Linked DNA regions of Notamacropus eugenii. The protein of the gene in region 2 binds, or shares a complex with, the protein of the main gene of each other region. Links are inferred from orthologs where the notes say so. Each region holds a gene or a part of one and is shown on either strand. Other genes may lie near its edges.

Region 1 (6,919 bases), on a different chromosome or scaffold from region 2:
GACCCCAAAAGGTTTACATTTTAATGGGACAGACAACATGCAAACAAATAAATACAAAGTAAGATTTATACAGGATAAATAGGAAATAATTAACAGAGGAAAGGCACTGGAATTTAGAGGGTTTAGGAAAAACTTGTAGAAGGCGAGATTTTAGTTAAAGGAATTTAAAGGAAGCCAAGGAGTCATTGTGGAGGAGGGAGATCATTGCAAGCATAGGCAACACCCAGGGAGAATGCCCAGTGTCTGGAGATGAAGTGGAACATTCAGGGTTTGAGATTTTAAGTCCAAATTTACCTAGTAGAATAAGAGACTTTCCCCCATATTAAAAGAATTATCGGCATCATTGAGAAGATAGGATTTGAATTTGGGCGAAGGGTGAGAGATCTTTTCTCAAGAAAGTAAAATAATGACTATAATAAATACCCCAAGTAACTGCAAAGATCCTATGAAGGAAGATGCTGTTTGCATCCAGAAAAGGAACTGATTACACACACACACACACACACACACACACACACACACGTCTATCCTTCTGGGGGGGAGGGGGAAAAAGTTATAGGATAACTATTGTATATTTGAAAGGAATAGCATAATGGATCTGCAGCTTCTGGTGTAATCCTCTTTTTTTCTATTCCACTTTGTTCTAGAAATGCTTGTTTTATTTCTCAAGTTCAGAATTTAAAAAAAAACACATGCAAAAAAATTTCAAAAGAAACATAATGCCTTTTCTGGCCTAGGTGCACCTCTTGCATCCTCTTTCTCTGATTTGTTAATTTAGATTCTAGCTAGATTGTGAACTGCTTGAGGGCAGAGACTTTTTCTTAAATGTCCCTAAATCTCCACTAGCTGATTATATATGGAAGTTTTATTTACATTGAAAGACAGCCTGCTTTGGGGACACAGAGACGGCCCTGGAGCCAGAAAGTACTGGTTGTCCCCCTGGACAAATCAGTCAATAACCATGAAGCACTTCCCACGCACCAGATTCTGTGCTAAGTTTACCTCAATTATTTCACTAGCCAGGTAGGGGTGTGCTGGTAAATGTTTAAGATTCACTTTGAAGTTTAATCTGCATCATTAATATTTGGTCTCTCTTTCTCAAGTGTAGACCACCAGTACAACAATAAATCAGGCCCCGATCGATGGCCTCTGCCCATTTCAAAGGTGTAGATGCTCACAGTGAAAGTTTAACAATCATTTCAGCTAACACTCCTTTGCTCTTGGGGCGTTAGGCAACTCTCTAAAATGATAAATTACAGAGAATATATATGTCTGCTTTGGCAGAGAATTTCTTATCCAGGAATTCCCTATAACAATTTAGAGATATTATCTTCAGTTGCTCCCTGCTGCCTCAAGTCTGGCTTCTACCTCCTTCCATTTTCAGTCTCAACTCGTATTACTTCAGTAAACATTTATTAAGTGCTTACTAAGTGCTAGGAACTGTGTTCAGCCCCCAAGGATACAAAAAAAGGCAAAAGACAGGCCCTTCTCTCAAGAAGCTTACAATCCAATGGAGGACGAACCAATATACACAAAGCAAGCTATGTACAGGGTAAATAGGAAATGATTAACAGAGGGAAGGCACTGGAATTAAGGGATTGAAAAAGTGGGATTTTAGTTGAGACTAAGTCAGTAGGAAGAGCAGAAGAGGGAGACCATTGAAAGAATGGAGGAAAGTCAGAAAAAATGCCCAGTCAAGAGATGGAGTGTCTCACTACAGAACAGCCAGGAGGCCTTCATCACTTGATCAAAAACTACCTGGGGGGGAGGGGGAGGAGGGTGGTGTATAAAGTGTAAGGAGGCTGGAAAAGTAGGAAGGCATTAGGTTATGAAGGACTTTTAATACCAAATAATTTTATATTTGATGCTGGAGGCAATAGGGAGTCCCTGGAATTTATTGAGTAGAGAGGTGACATGGTTAGACTTGCTCTTTAGGATTTCACTTTAGCGGCTAAATGGTGGATGGACTGGAGTGGGAAGAGACTTAAGGCAGGAAGACCCACTAACAGTCTACTGCAGTAATCAAGGCATGAGGATTTGCAGTGTCAGAGGAGAAAACGTGGTGAGGTCAAGAGATGTGGCAGAGATGAAATGAACAGGCCCTGGTAACAGCTTAGATTATTGGAGGGGGGGATATGAGAGAGGGTTTGGAGTCCAGGATGACTCCTAGGTTGTGAGACTGAGGGAGGAGGAGGTTGGTGTTATCCTTTACAGTAACAGGAAAGGAGAAGGGGAGGGTTTCAGGGGGAGAGATAATGAGTTCTGTTTTGGACATGTTGAATTTAAGATGTCTATGGGACATCCAGCTAGAGATGTCTCAAAGGCAGTTGGAGATGAGAGACTGGAGGTCAGAAGAGAGTTTGGGGCAGGACAGGTAGACTCAGCAAAGTCATGGTCATAATTATCCTTGGGAGCTGATGAGATCACCAAGTGAAGAAGCATGGAGGGAGAAGATGCCCTCTGGGTATCAGTCACAGAGGCCTACAATTTCCTAACCATAGGACACAATCCCTCCTGCTTCTGTCCTTTACACATCCTGCCTCCTATTCTGGTTCTCCTCTGCAACTAGCTTCACCCCACTAGAAATTCAGACTCACTTTGTGGCTCTGACAGCTGAGGTTTTCTGCCTTAGAATGCCACCCACCATAAGGCCTTCATGCCCTGCCTTCCCCCAGGAGAGCATGAGTCCCTAGAGATCAGGTTTGTATCTCCATGCCCTGACACTTAGAACAGCGCCTGACAAACAGTAAACCCTCTATGTGGTGTTCTCTCTCTCTCTCTATTTGGTGTGCATGGGGCGCTCAGGGAGGTTGAGCACCTCTGGGGTCCCCATTACCCAGCTCTGGCCTTGGGCTCCAAGAAGCTGGAGCAAGCGCATGGGCCACACCTGGGCCACATCCGGGCCACATCCGGGTAAAGGAGTCTCAGCAGATGTGCTGTGGACAACGGCCAGACCTCAAACCTCCCAGAGTAGGGAAGGGTCTACTCCAGACACATAAAGGTGCCCCCTGCCTGAGTGGCCGCTGTTCCAACGGCTGGTAAGGTGGATGAAACAGGCACTGCAGGGCCGCTTAGAGCTCTGTCGGACATCAGATGCCAAGGTCGTCCTCTGCCCCCGGGCCACCGCCGAACCTTCGGACTCTGAGGCCGATGACTTGGTGCGGTCACTGGGCCTCTTCGAAAATGACGGATGAACGACCTCTAGTAAATATCGATCTGTCTGTCCGTCTGGACGCTTGGGACGGACACTCCTCTGCTCTCCCTCTCCTGATTCGCCTGGCACTGCTGGTGTAACTGTACTGAATTCAACCTCCTCGGCGTGTTCCTTTAGCAGAGGTGGGAACCGAGGCTTGGAGGCAGGATTCACACAGCTGGCAGGGTCATGAGGCTGGATTTGAACCCAGGCCTGGCCGACTCCCCAGAACGTCATGCCCAAAGGCAATGGGGCGGCAGGAGGAGTCCCGCGGTGAGGGGCTGCGGGCTGGGTGCCAGAGGTCACTGCTGAAGGTCACCGCTGAAGGTCACCGCTGAAGGTCACTGCTGGCTCCTCCGGGTATCCGTGCTGAGCCAGACACTCGCTTTCCAGGCGGGGTTGGGGCCAATGCAGAGAGAGGCCCAACGCTCCTGACTTGGGCTTCGGTAACATTTGGGGGGCCCTCGGGGAGCCCACTCGCTGCGGAGCTCTCTGTCTCTGCGGATCCGGAACGAGCCGGGGTCTCTGGCCGACCCCCCGCAGGTCTGAGGGAATCCCCCCTCCCCCGCACTCGAGACCCCCAAGGGAGGGAGCGCCCGGCCCCAGCCTAGAAAACCCGGAAACGCCGGCGCCGACCAAGGGGGCGGGGCGCGCGCTCGTCCAATCCCGGAGAAGGTGACGTGTGACGCCCCGCCCCTGGGATGCGTAATCTCTCCTGATAGGTCCTCCCGAGGCTCCTCGCGCGCCAGGGGGAGGGGCGGTCGGAGTGGCGGGAAGTTGGCGGCTCCGCCTCCGCCTTTCCCTCCCAGCTTGTGCTCCGGAGGACCCCGGGACTTACCCATGGACCCGGCCGAGGTGGAGTTCCTGGCCGAGAAGGAAATGGTCACCATCATCCCCAACTTCAGCCTGGACAAGATCTACCTCATCGGGGTACTCGGATGCCGGCCTCCCCTCCCCCCGTGCCTCAGTTTCCCTCCTCCCCTCGCGACCCCCCAGCACCTCAGTCTCCTCTCTCGCCTTTGCGGCCCTCCCCGTCCCCTTCTCCCGAGTATCAGACCAGGCCCTCAGGTTGGGGGTCGGCTCCCCTAGAACCCCGCCCCGGACTTGCGCTTGTCCTCCCCGAATCCCTCCCTCTTGTCTTTGGAGCCCTCCTCTGGCCACAGATATCACCCACCCTCCCCTGCCTCCCCCTCCCCCTCCCTCTTCTTCTCCCCCTCCCTTCCCCGCTCTCCTCCCCCGCCCCCTTTCCTCTCTGTCTCTCTGTGTCTCTCTGTCTCTCTGTCTCCCTCTCTCTGTCTCTCTGTCTCTCTTTCTCTGCCTCTCCCCCTCCCCCTCCCTTCCCCGTTCTCCTCCCCCGCCCCCTTTCCTCTCTGTCTCTCTCTCTCTGTTTCTCTCTGCCTTTCTGTCTCTGTCTTCCTGTCTCTGTATCTGTCTCTCTGTCTCTCTGTCTCTGTCTCTCTGTCTCCCTCTCTCTGTCTCTCCCCCTCCCCCTCCCTTCCCCGTTCTCCTCCCCCGCCCCCTTTCCTCTCTGTCTCTCTCTCTCTGTTTCTCTCTGCCTTTCTGTCTCTGTCTTCCTGTCTCTGTATCTGTCTCTCTGTCTCTCTGTCTCCCTCTCTCTGTCTCTCTCCCTCCCTCCCTTTTTCTTTTCTCTCCTCCCCCCCCCCCCACCCAAATTGTAGGTTTGAGGTAGACTTCCTGAGAGTAACAGTAAGTTATTGTAGTAACCTAAGCCGTAGCTGTATTTGGACACTCAAGTGTCAGTGCCTTCCCAATGGCAGGGTGCCATCTTTGAGTCATTTTGTATCTTTTTTTTCCTTAATACCATTACTCTACAGAATCCAAGCGGTTCGTTTGGCTGAGGTTCACCTAAGTGTTTTCTGTCTCTTGTTTTCTTACGGTGACTTGTTTTCCCTCTCTGCCAGGGAGATCTGGGACCTTTTAATCCTGGTTTACCTGTGGAAGTACCTCTTTGGCTGGCAATGAACCTAAAACAGAGACAGAAGTGCCGCGTGATTCCTCCTGAATGGATGGATGTCGGTAAGGAAGGGGCCTGAAGTCTAGTTGGAAGCTAAGGATGGATTTAGGGACAGTGGATTGTTTTATGTCTTGAGTGGTGGGTTCTCTGCCCTTGGTTGGGCAGGGGCTTACCTCTTTCCTATCTACTGAACACTTGAAGTTGCTGTTGTCACTTAGGGAACTGCCACTTGCACAACAAAACCTTGCATTCTTATTTAATTTTTGTGTCCTTGAGGAAGTTACAGTTTCTATCTTGATTTTATAGTGTAAGTAGTATTGTGCCTTTAAACATACTTATATATACATATATATGCATATGTATATGCATACTATAGGAAGACACTGAAGTTCAGCGAGATGAAAGAATTTTCCCAAGGCCCCCAGCAGGAAACATGACAGGGATGGAGGGACCAAAACTGGACCTCCTGACTTCACATACCTACTGTGTTGCCTCCCACTGAAGAACATTTTATAGGGCTGCCTTTAGGGTCGGAGCTATCTTTACTGAGCATTTGATCCAAATGGCTCTAGTTACGTTATTTAAGTTTTAAACTTTGGAGGTTTTGTTTTCCAGTAGAAGTGGAACCAGGATAAGAGGGGTCTTCTTTTGTTAGAGTACTGGGCCTGGATATGACCTCAGCCACGGACCAACTGAGTATCCTGGGCAAGTCACTTCACCCTTGTCTGCCTCAGTTTCCTTCTCTATGAAATGATAATAATAGCACCTACGTCAAAGGGTTGGTGCAAGGATCAAATGAGATAATATTGGTGAAGTGCAATAACACAGTGCCCAGCACTTAGTAGGTGCTTTATGAATGTTTCTTCCCTCCCTGCCTCCCTAGAGAGGCATCTAGCTCTAGAAGCCCCAAACCAGTCGAGAGGAATGCCAAGTGTCTGTGCCTCTCAGCACAGAAGTGGAAGGCATGTTTCCCATGTTGTAAGGGGCCTATTTTAAAAAGCACCTAATGGACCATTGAGATATTGCAGCCCTTGAAGATTCCATTCACAGTTAGGGCTGTGGAGTCACATGGTGTGGCATTGGTTTAGGAGTTGGGAGATTTTCATTCTAAGTCTGGCTCTGACCTTAGTAGCTGTGGGAGCCAAGACAAGACTCCGAACTTCTGTTTCTTCATCTAAAATGAGGGTGTTGGATTAAACAACTTCTGAGAGGTCACTTTGGTTCCATACTCCATGATACCAGTGCTCTCCTGGATAAGGATGGAATTCACTCATGGTCTTTTCCTATAAAAGAGGCTTTGGGGGATTTGGAAAGGAATTTGGAGATTCCTTTCACCTACATGTGTCCCTGATGGCTAAGGGCAAAAGTTTCTCTTATAGCCTAGTTCAATAAGAATTCAGTGCTTGAAGAATTAGGTGCAGAGATAGTTTGGAATTTTTAAATGGATTATGTCCATCTTAGGTTTAAGAGCCATAAAGTCATGTTTGACTAGAATAAAAATGTAATTTCACTATATCATTTCAGTATGTGATAATCCTGGTATATCGGAGGCTTTGGCAGAGACTGGACCTGGCTGATATACCACCATCTAGGCCAAGTCTCATTGACTTGTTCAAGGAAGACATAGCCATAACACATAAATACTTTTTGCTGAGGAAAAAGTTCTTATCATTATTTTTTCCCATCCCAGGGAAGTGGCCATCCGCTCTGTAGTCTATCTGATGCCTCTAATTTTGGAATTGCTATTGTTT
Region 2 (7,743 bases):
TTCAAGAGGTGGAGGAAGGTTAAGATGATTGGAATTGGATGAAGTCTCTATGAAGGAGGCAATTTTTAAAAATCTCTGCTCTAGGACCAGCTTTAATCATTATGTTATATAGCATTCAGTTTCTTTTTTTATTATCTCTTACTTTTATTTTATTATCTTTCTTCCCATTTACACCATTACACTATATATAAATAGATATAGAGGTTGTTTTCCTGGTTCTGCTTTATCTCATTCTGGAACCTTAACCTTCTCATTCTTCAAATCACACTTCTTACATGTCCACATTTTATTACATTCATCATACAACAATTTGTTTAGCCAATCCCTACTTGATGATTATCTACTTTCTATGTTTTTGGTATATGTGCTTTTCTATCACTGACATCAGAGTATGTACCCAGGAGGTTCTCAAAGGGTAGGAATATTTCAGTCACTTTCTTTGAATTCCAGATTACTTTATTGAACAGTTTGACCCATATATAGTTCCATAAAAAAAGGTATTAATGTGCCCAGCTTCATGGACTATTTGCATCTTCTGTGATCTTTGCCAATTTCCTGGGTGAAGTGAAATTTGAGTTGCTTTCACTTTCATCTCTCTTGTTATTAATGACTTGAAATAATCTTTCACAAGTTCATTAACAGCTTGTAAATCTTCTAAGAACTGTTCATATTCTTTGATCATATCGAATGATAAATGATTCTTGGCCTGACGTACTTGCATTGGTTCTTTGTATATCCAGGACCCTTAGAGATCTCTATAGGTAATGCAAAGGCTTTTCCCCCAATCCAACACTTTCCTTTTTACCCAAGTTACATGGATTTTCTTTGTGAAAAAGGTTTTATCTATTTTATGTTATATGATCACCTGTATACTCCTTCCATGTTTGGTGGGGGGGGGGGGGAAGATCTTCTTATCCTAGTCACAGAAGTGAAATGAACTTAACCTGTCATCTAAATTTTTATATCACCTTTCATTTGCCTTTTAGAGTATTACCTTTCATTCAAGTTGCACATTCATTTTTACCTTATTATTGTCTAAGATGGTGCTCTAGATTTAATTTCTGCCAATCTGCTTTCCAGTTTTCCCAACAATTCTTTCAAATATGGAATTCTTTATCAAGTAATTTATCTCTTCTGGGTTATTAAGTTCAATTGTTTTTCATTCTTCTTTTTTCAATTTGTTCTATCAATCTACTTTTCTAATTTTTTTAACCAATACCAAATAGTTTCAATGATTACTGCTTCACAGCAAAACCAAAGGTCTAGAAGTAATACCCTTCACTCTTATTTTTTTCATTATTTCCTTTGAGATTCTGAATCTTTCATTCCTCCAAATGATTTTTATTATTATTTTGCCTACCTCTGTCAAGTATCCCCTTGGTAATTGATTTGGCAAAGTATTAAGTCTGCAAATTAATTTAGATAATATCATCCTTTATCTTCTGACCTAACATGGAATAAGGAAAAGTTTCTGTGTTTTCCCATTGCAAATGATTTTAGAAATGATTTCATTATTAAAAATAACCCTTCAAGGTCTATGACGTAGAATTTTTAGCATAAATAAATGATACACTTCCTCAAAGGCTTTTCCTGCATCTATTCATACAATCCTGTAGTTTACAGTGGTTTTGTTTTTAATATGAACGACTATTAATTGCTTTTCTAATTCTGTATCATCCTTGCATCCATAGTAGAATGCTAACTTGTTCACAATGACTAATTTTTTTATATAGTACCACTTTTTTTGCTAAAAATTTTTAAAATTATAACCAATACTCATTAACGATACTGATGTATAGTTCTCTTTACTTTATCCTCCCCTGGTTTAAGTATTAGGGCCAGGCTATCCCCTTAGGGATCTTCATGTACTGATTCCCAACTTACTGAGAAATCAGATAGACCCCGTTATTTACAGGAAGACAGTCTTCGTCAACCAGCACTGCCTAGGTGGGGGAGCCATCTCGACAGGACAAGCTAATCCACTTGACAGATAAACATGATTTCTTATTTATCTGGATTAAGTAAACACAACACCCAGGACAAGCATCTTCTCCTCCACCCTGCCTCCCTGCCAAAAACAAAACAAACACCAGCCTGGAAAAGCACACCAGCGTCTGGGAGGTCTGTGCTCCCTCTCTTTAGATGGTGATGTTCACAGCTGTCTATGCCAAAAACAAAAAAATGCCACGAGAAATTTTTCAAGAACTATTTCCATTCGACACGAGTCACTACGCACGTGTCTGGTGCCAGAAGCTCCAGACTAGTTTTGGCTACAACAAAGATCGCAGACAAGAACTTTTCCCAGGTGGACCCTACCCAGCCCCACCCCCTGTCCGGCCCCACCCCCGAGAGAACAAAGCCTGGAGCATCCCGGCACCCCGAATCCAACAGAAGCCCACGGTTTCACTCTAACCCACGCTAGCTTTTGGGGGGTCACACGGTCCGGGACAGGGGGCGTGAAGGGCTCCTGGCGAGCCCTCCCACCCACCCCCACCCGCCTGGGCTCGCACCTACGGCCCGGACCCCGCTCCCTCCAACCAAGCCGGCCGAGAGGAAGACAGAAGGACCCTCCTCTTCCTCGGGCCTCTTCCCTGCCCAGCGCCCGCCTCCGCCGGAGCCAACGGCCACACGGCCTTCCCCTGACCCCCTCCTCCCCCAACACGCACGCACACACGCGGAGCCCTCACCTCGTCGTCCAGGAAGTCCAGGTAATCTCTCTGCGCCTCCCGCAGCTCCACATCGTCTATCACGGTGGTGGCAGCCATGCTTCCAGACTGCAGAATGGACTCCGCTTCTTCGCTCCCCCAGCGCTGACTCCTCCCCAGGCGCGAAAGTTACTTCACTTTTCCCGCCACCCAAAGTTACTTCCTAGGCGGCTGCGGAAGCAGGTTGGATTCTGATTGGCTGCAACTTCCGCGGGCGGAAGAACGTGTGCCCAATGGGCAGCTCCTTCCTCCCCTTGGCGTTCCGATACGTCCTCATGGCGGGAAACTTACAGATGTCTATTTGCCCCTCCCCTCCCCTGCGCCCTTAAGTCAAGAAGAACGTAACTGGCCAATCCAGAGGGCGCGATGGGCGGAGCTTGTGACTTTCAGCTCCCGAGGGTTGGGACTGCAACGAAAATACGTCGCGTTGCTTTCTGGGAATTGTAGTCCATATGATAGAAATCTAGTAGTCTGGGTGGTTGGTGCTACCTTGCTTTCAAGCTGTTTCCCTTCTGGGTAACGTACAAAAACATTATCTGTGTCGAGTCGTCCAGTCTCACCTGCGCCTTTGTGTTCACTTTGTGACCGGGAAAGTCAATCCCTTGTTCTGCGCCTTCTTTTATAACAGTTTGGGAATGATGTTATATTACATTGGAGAGGGGGTATCAAGGGACATAAAAAAAGTGACGATCATTGATTAATTTTGTTTTAATCAGGTAGACACGGCCAGAGATGTGCTGGAGCGAGCTCCTTACCCGCAGAACTGGCTGCTGAATAACTTGGAAATCGGCAAATGCTCCAGATGAAGGACTTGATCTGTTTTATTGATTGTCTAGAATTCAAGACAGAGATGAAGGAATGTTAACGATGCATTTTTTAAAAATTATTTTGTTTTCAGTTTTGTACAGTCAAACAATGCAGATTTAAAAATAATAATAAATAAATAATATTTGTTTATTTAATAATAATAAATAAATGATGAGCACATTACACACCCGCACACACACACACACGCACACACGCACACGCACACGCACAGTTAAACACAGTTCAACATTTACCAACACACTCGGGAGATTTCACAGGTCCGCAGAACTGCCCTCACGGATAATCGGGCAACATTTCTGTAATGTGCACTCAGCCTGGGCACCGAGAGTTAAAGTGGTCTTCCCACATTTCTGCAGCCGATACGAATGAAAGGCAGAAATTCCTCTCTCTCTATCACAAGACTGATTCAGTATAAGAATCGATGAAAAGCAAATATCTTCTCACATCCATCACGCAGCTGCTCTCCGTGGTGTCGGAGATAGAGTGCTAGAGCTGGAATGAGGAAGACGGGGGTTCAAATTCAGTCTATGTAACCTGAGGCAAAGCACAAATTCTCTAAACCTCTGTTTCCTCATTTTTAAAATAAAGGGATTGGACAAAGTCTCCAAGGTCCCTTCCAGTTCTAAGTAGTGGCAGGCAGGTGGCGCATTTGGATAGGGTCAGGTAGAACCTGATACATACGATCTGTGTGACCCTGGGACAAATCACTTAACTTCTGCCTGCCTCAGTTTCCCCATCTGTCAAATAAGCTGGAGAAGGAAATGGCAAACCACCCCCAGTATCTCTGCCAAGAAAACTCCAAAGGGAGTCACAAAGAGTCCACATGACTGAACAACAACGTGTTTCTAAAGCGCAGTGCCCGAAACATAGTAGGCACTACGTAAACTTTAGTGATGAGGATGATGATGATAGCGGATGTTTTAAATACCTGGATACATTATTAATATGTGCTCTGTAAGCTTCATGCTATTTATCCCTATAAGTTGAGGAGATTAAGATTGATCCTGTCTTATTTTCTTATTGATCCTATTTACAATTAATTGATTTTGTCCCCTAAGTGCTTCAATCATGGTTCTTTGTCTCTGAACTGAATTCAGCGTTCAGCTGGTCTGTAACAGATTAGCTTTAAAAATACAGCTCTCCTGCCTCAAGGAACTTAACTGATCTTGGTGAATGTGTGAGAATGCAAGGAAGTTTGGGCTTGACACTCTTACTCCACCAAGCTTTCCTTCAAGGATGTCTAGTTTGCTGAGCCACTATCCCACACCTGCACTCAGACAATAAACACCTCTTAGTATCATGAGAGGAGAAGAGGGGTCAATGCTAGCCCCCATTACCAAATTTCCTACCAATCATGTTGTTCCCTGTGCCTCAACTCTTTGACCAATCATGATCCCAAGATGTCATCTACCCTCCTCTTTGTAATTTCCAAAACCTTGTATTAAGAAGATCTGTCCTCTTGCTCCAGGTGTTTGGCATTAATGGAGGCAATCCACTGACCCATTTATTGACAGGTAACATGACCTTGCTCTGAGATCTACCTCAGTTTACCCTTTCATTAAAATTCAATTTCTACAGTTATATAACAATAAATACTTTTGTCCTTCAAAGTTCAAACATGAAGGATACTAGAATTAAGTCCTTGCTCGGCTACTCACTATCTGTTCCTTCCTAACTAAACTAATTCCAAGTACACTTTCCTCATCTCAGAGGGATTGAGAGCTATGTAACCTGTAGCTCAAAGGCTATTTGCATAAAACTCTACAAAATGGCCTTTGAACAGTAGATTATATCTATTGTACCTCATGGGGTTGTTGTAAAGATCATTTGAGCTAATTTCTATGAAATATTTAAAAACCTATCTGTATGATTGCATATTTAAGGTCTTATTGATTAGCTGTAAGACTATGGTTTGAAAGCCTAATATCTGATTACTGTCTGATTTCTACATTTGCAATCTGGAGAACAAAAACCAATTCATGAATCAAGATCCTGTTTACAGTTTTATACAAGATGAGATATGAATAAATGAATGAAAAGATCAGTAAATGGTTACTATGTACCAGGAACAGAGCTAAGCATTAGTGATACAAATATATAAAAAGTGAAATAGCTTCTTTTCTCAAGGAGTTTATATTCCAACACAGCAGGTATTCTTAATTTGAGGTCCACCAATTCCTATAGGATCCATAAATGGATTTCACGGGATCTGAAAATTTGGATGAGAAAAATTATAACTTTTCTTCAGTGTAATTGGTTTCCTTTATAATCCCGTGTATTTTAATATATTAAAAAACATTCTGAGAAGAGGTCAATAAATTTTCACCAATCTGTCAAAGGTGTCTATGATACAAAAAAGGTCTAGAATTCCTGTGATAGGGTGAAACAATACACATAGGAGAATGGTAGCCAAGGGATGTTTTGGTCAGGAAAGTGGTCTCAGGGATATTGAGTTGATCTTTAGGGCAATTAACTAGTTCATTCTTTCCAGAGGCAATGCTGCTGTTGCTGCTGCTGTTACTACTGCTACTACCAGCATTTATAGATCACTTTAAGGTTTGTAGTGTTTTACAAATATTGTCTTATTTTAACTTCACAACAATCCTAGGTCCTATTGATGAAATTTGGAGTGCTAGGACCCTAAAAATGCCTAGGCAGGGTTGCCTGGAATGAATTCACACACTCAAGCCATCCTTCGGTTGAGGCAGTTTATTGTAATACCAATAGAAGTGGGCAGAGTTCCTTTAAAGAATTTACAACCTAATGGGGGTGAATCTAGAGCTTATATAGAAAAGGGGCATGGGAAAGGAATAATTATGTAATGCAAAGGGTCCAAGTGTCATGGGAGCAGGCGTCAGTAATCTATGGAAAATGTAGGGAGTTTTTCAGAGATAATTTTGTTGATACCAGACATTGAGGGAGCTGTTAGAGGCATGGACCTTGGGGATCTGACATGAGGGAGAGTGCTTGGGTCAGGCACCCCTGTATCTGTTGTTTATCTAAGGAATTACAGGGTGAACTCTGTCTGTATCTGTAATAAGAAGAGAATTTTCTCATGGATGGGAGAGGAGGGGCTGGGTTGCTTTCAGAGACATGGTGGTAGGGCTTTTTGGGATCTAGGTCCCACCACCCCATCACTGTTATTATCCCTATTTTACAGATGAGGAAACTGAGGCTGGCAGAAATGAATTTTATTTACTGTTGATCTGATTACTATGTTCAAAGAAAAGGGAGGGACAATAAAATATGTTGCTACGTATCCCGATTTCCATTTTTATTCATATTTATGATCTCTCATCACCTGGTATATTTCAAGGCCAATCCAACTTCAGGCTCACAATACTGAGCAGGTAGAGAAGATCTTGGATACTGTGAAAACTGGTGATAATGTAACGCTTTGTTTTTCAGCATTCCCAGGGAAAGAGAAAGCATGGAGGTAGTTTATTTATTTAGTTTCCCAGATAAGGAGAATAATCTTAGGTACTTTCTTTACAACTTCCAATCTTGGAAGTTGCCTAGAGGAAGGAGAAAGTATAGAGATAAGGACTAGATCAGTATAGTTCTCTGATTTGCCCAGAGTTACATAGTCCATGTCTATTTTTATTTTTTTTAAGCTGGCACAATTTATTTTTTTTTTTATGGTTTCTTGAAATATATCTGTGAAAAAACAGGCTTTAAAAAAAAAAACAACATTGTGTTTCAAATGGAGCTGGGCCCAGGGTCATACCTGAATTCAAATTCAGCCTCAAATACTTGCTGTGTGATCTTGGGTAAGTCACTTAACCTCTGTTTACCTCAGTTTTCTCATCTGCAAAATGGAAATAATAATAGCACCTACCTCCCATGGTTGTTGTGAGAATCAAAAGAGATAATAATTGTAAAGTGTTTAGCATAGTGCCTGGCATAGAGTAAGTACCATATAAATATTTTTTACTATACTATAAATATATTGTATATAGTAATATACATACTATATATTAGTATACATAATATACTAATATATTACTATATATAAGACACTAATATATTAGTATATATAGTATACTAATATATAGATGTTATCATTACTACTAGCTGTATGACTTTGAACACTTAACTTCTGTTTGCCTCAGTTTCCTCAACTGTAAAATTATTATTAGCTATCCCAAAGTGGAGTGGGCTGATGTAGCAGGTCATGGGTTCCCCCTTTTGAAAGTCTTCAAGCAAAAGC

Evidence for each region. Proteins that work in one complex are often made in the same cells at the same time.
Region 1: MCM3 (region 2) and GINS2 share a complex: the UniProt entries of both Homo sapiens proteins name them as parts of the CMG helicase complex. The link is inferred for Notamacropus eugenii from reciprocal best matches to the Homo sapiens genes MCM3 and GINS2.

What each region holds. Positions count from the first base shown.
Region 1 is NC_092872.1:700,243,613-700,250,531, reverse strand, and holds the start of GINS2 (DNA replication complex GINS protein PSF2), read left to right. Parts: upstream 1-3,919; 5' UTR 3,920-4,033; coding exon 4,034-4,123; intron 4,124-5,115; coding exon 5,116-5,230; intron 5,231-6,919. UniProt on the Homo sapiens protein: Required for correct functioning of the GINS complex, a complex that plays an essential role in the initiation of DNA replication, and progression of DNA replication forks.
Region 2 is NC_092873.1:118,548,564-118,556,306, forward strand, and holds the start of MCM3 (DNA replication licensing factor MCM3), read right to left. Parts: upstream 3,001-7,743; 5' UTR 2,766-3,000; coding exon 2,688-2,765; intron 1-2,687. UniProt on the Homo sapiens protein: Acts as a component of the MCM2-7 complex (MCM complex) which is the replicative helicase essential for 'once per cell cycle' DNA replication initiation and elongation in eukaryotic cells.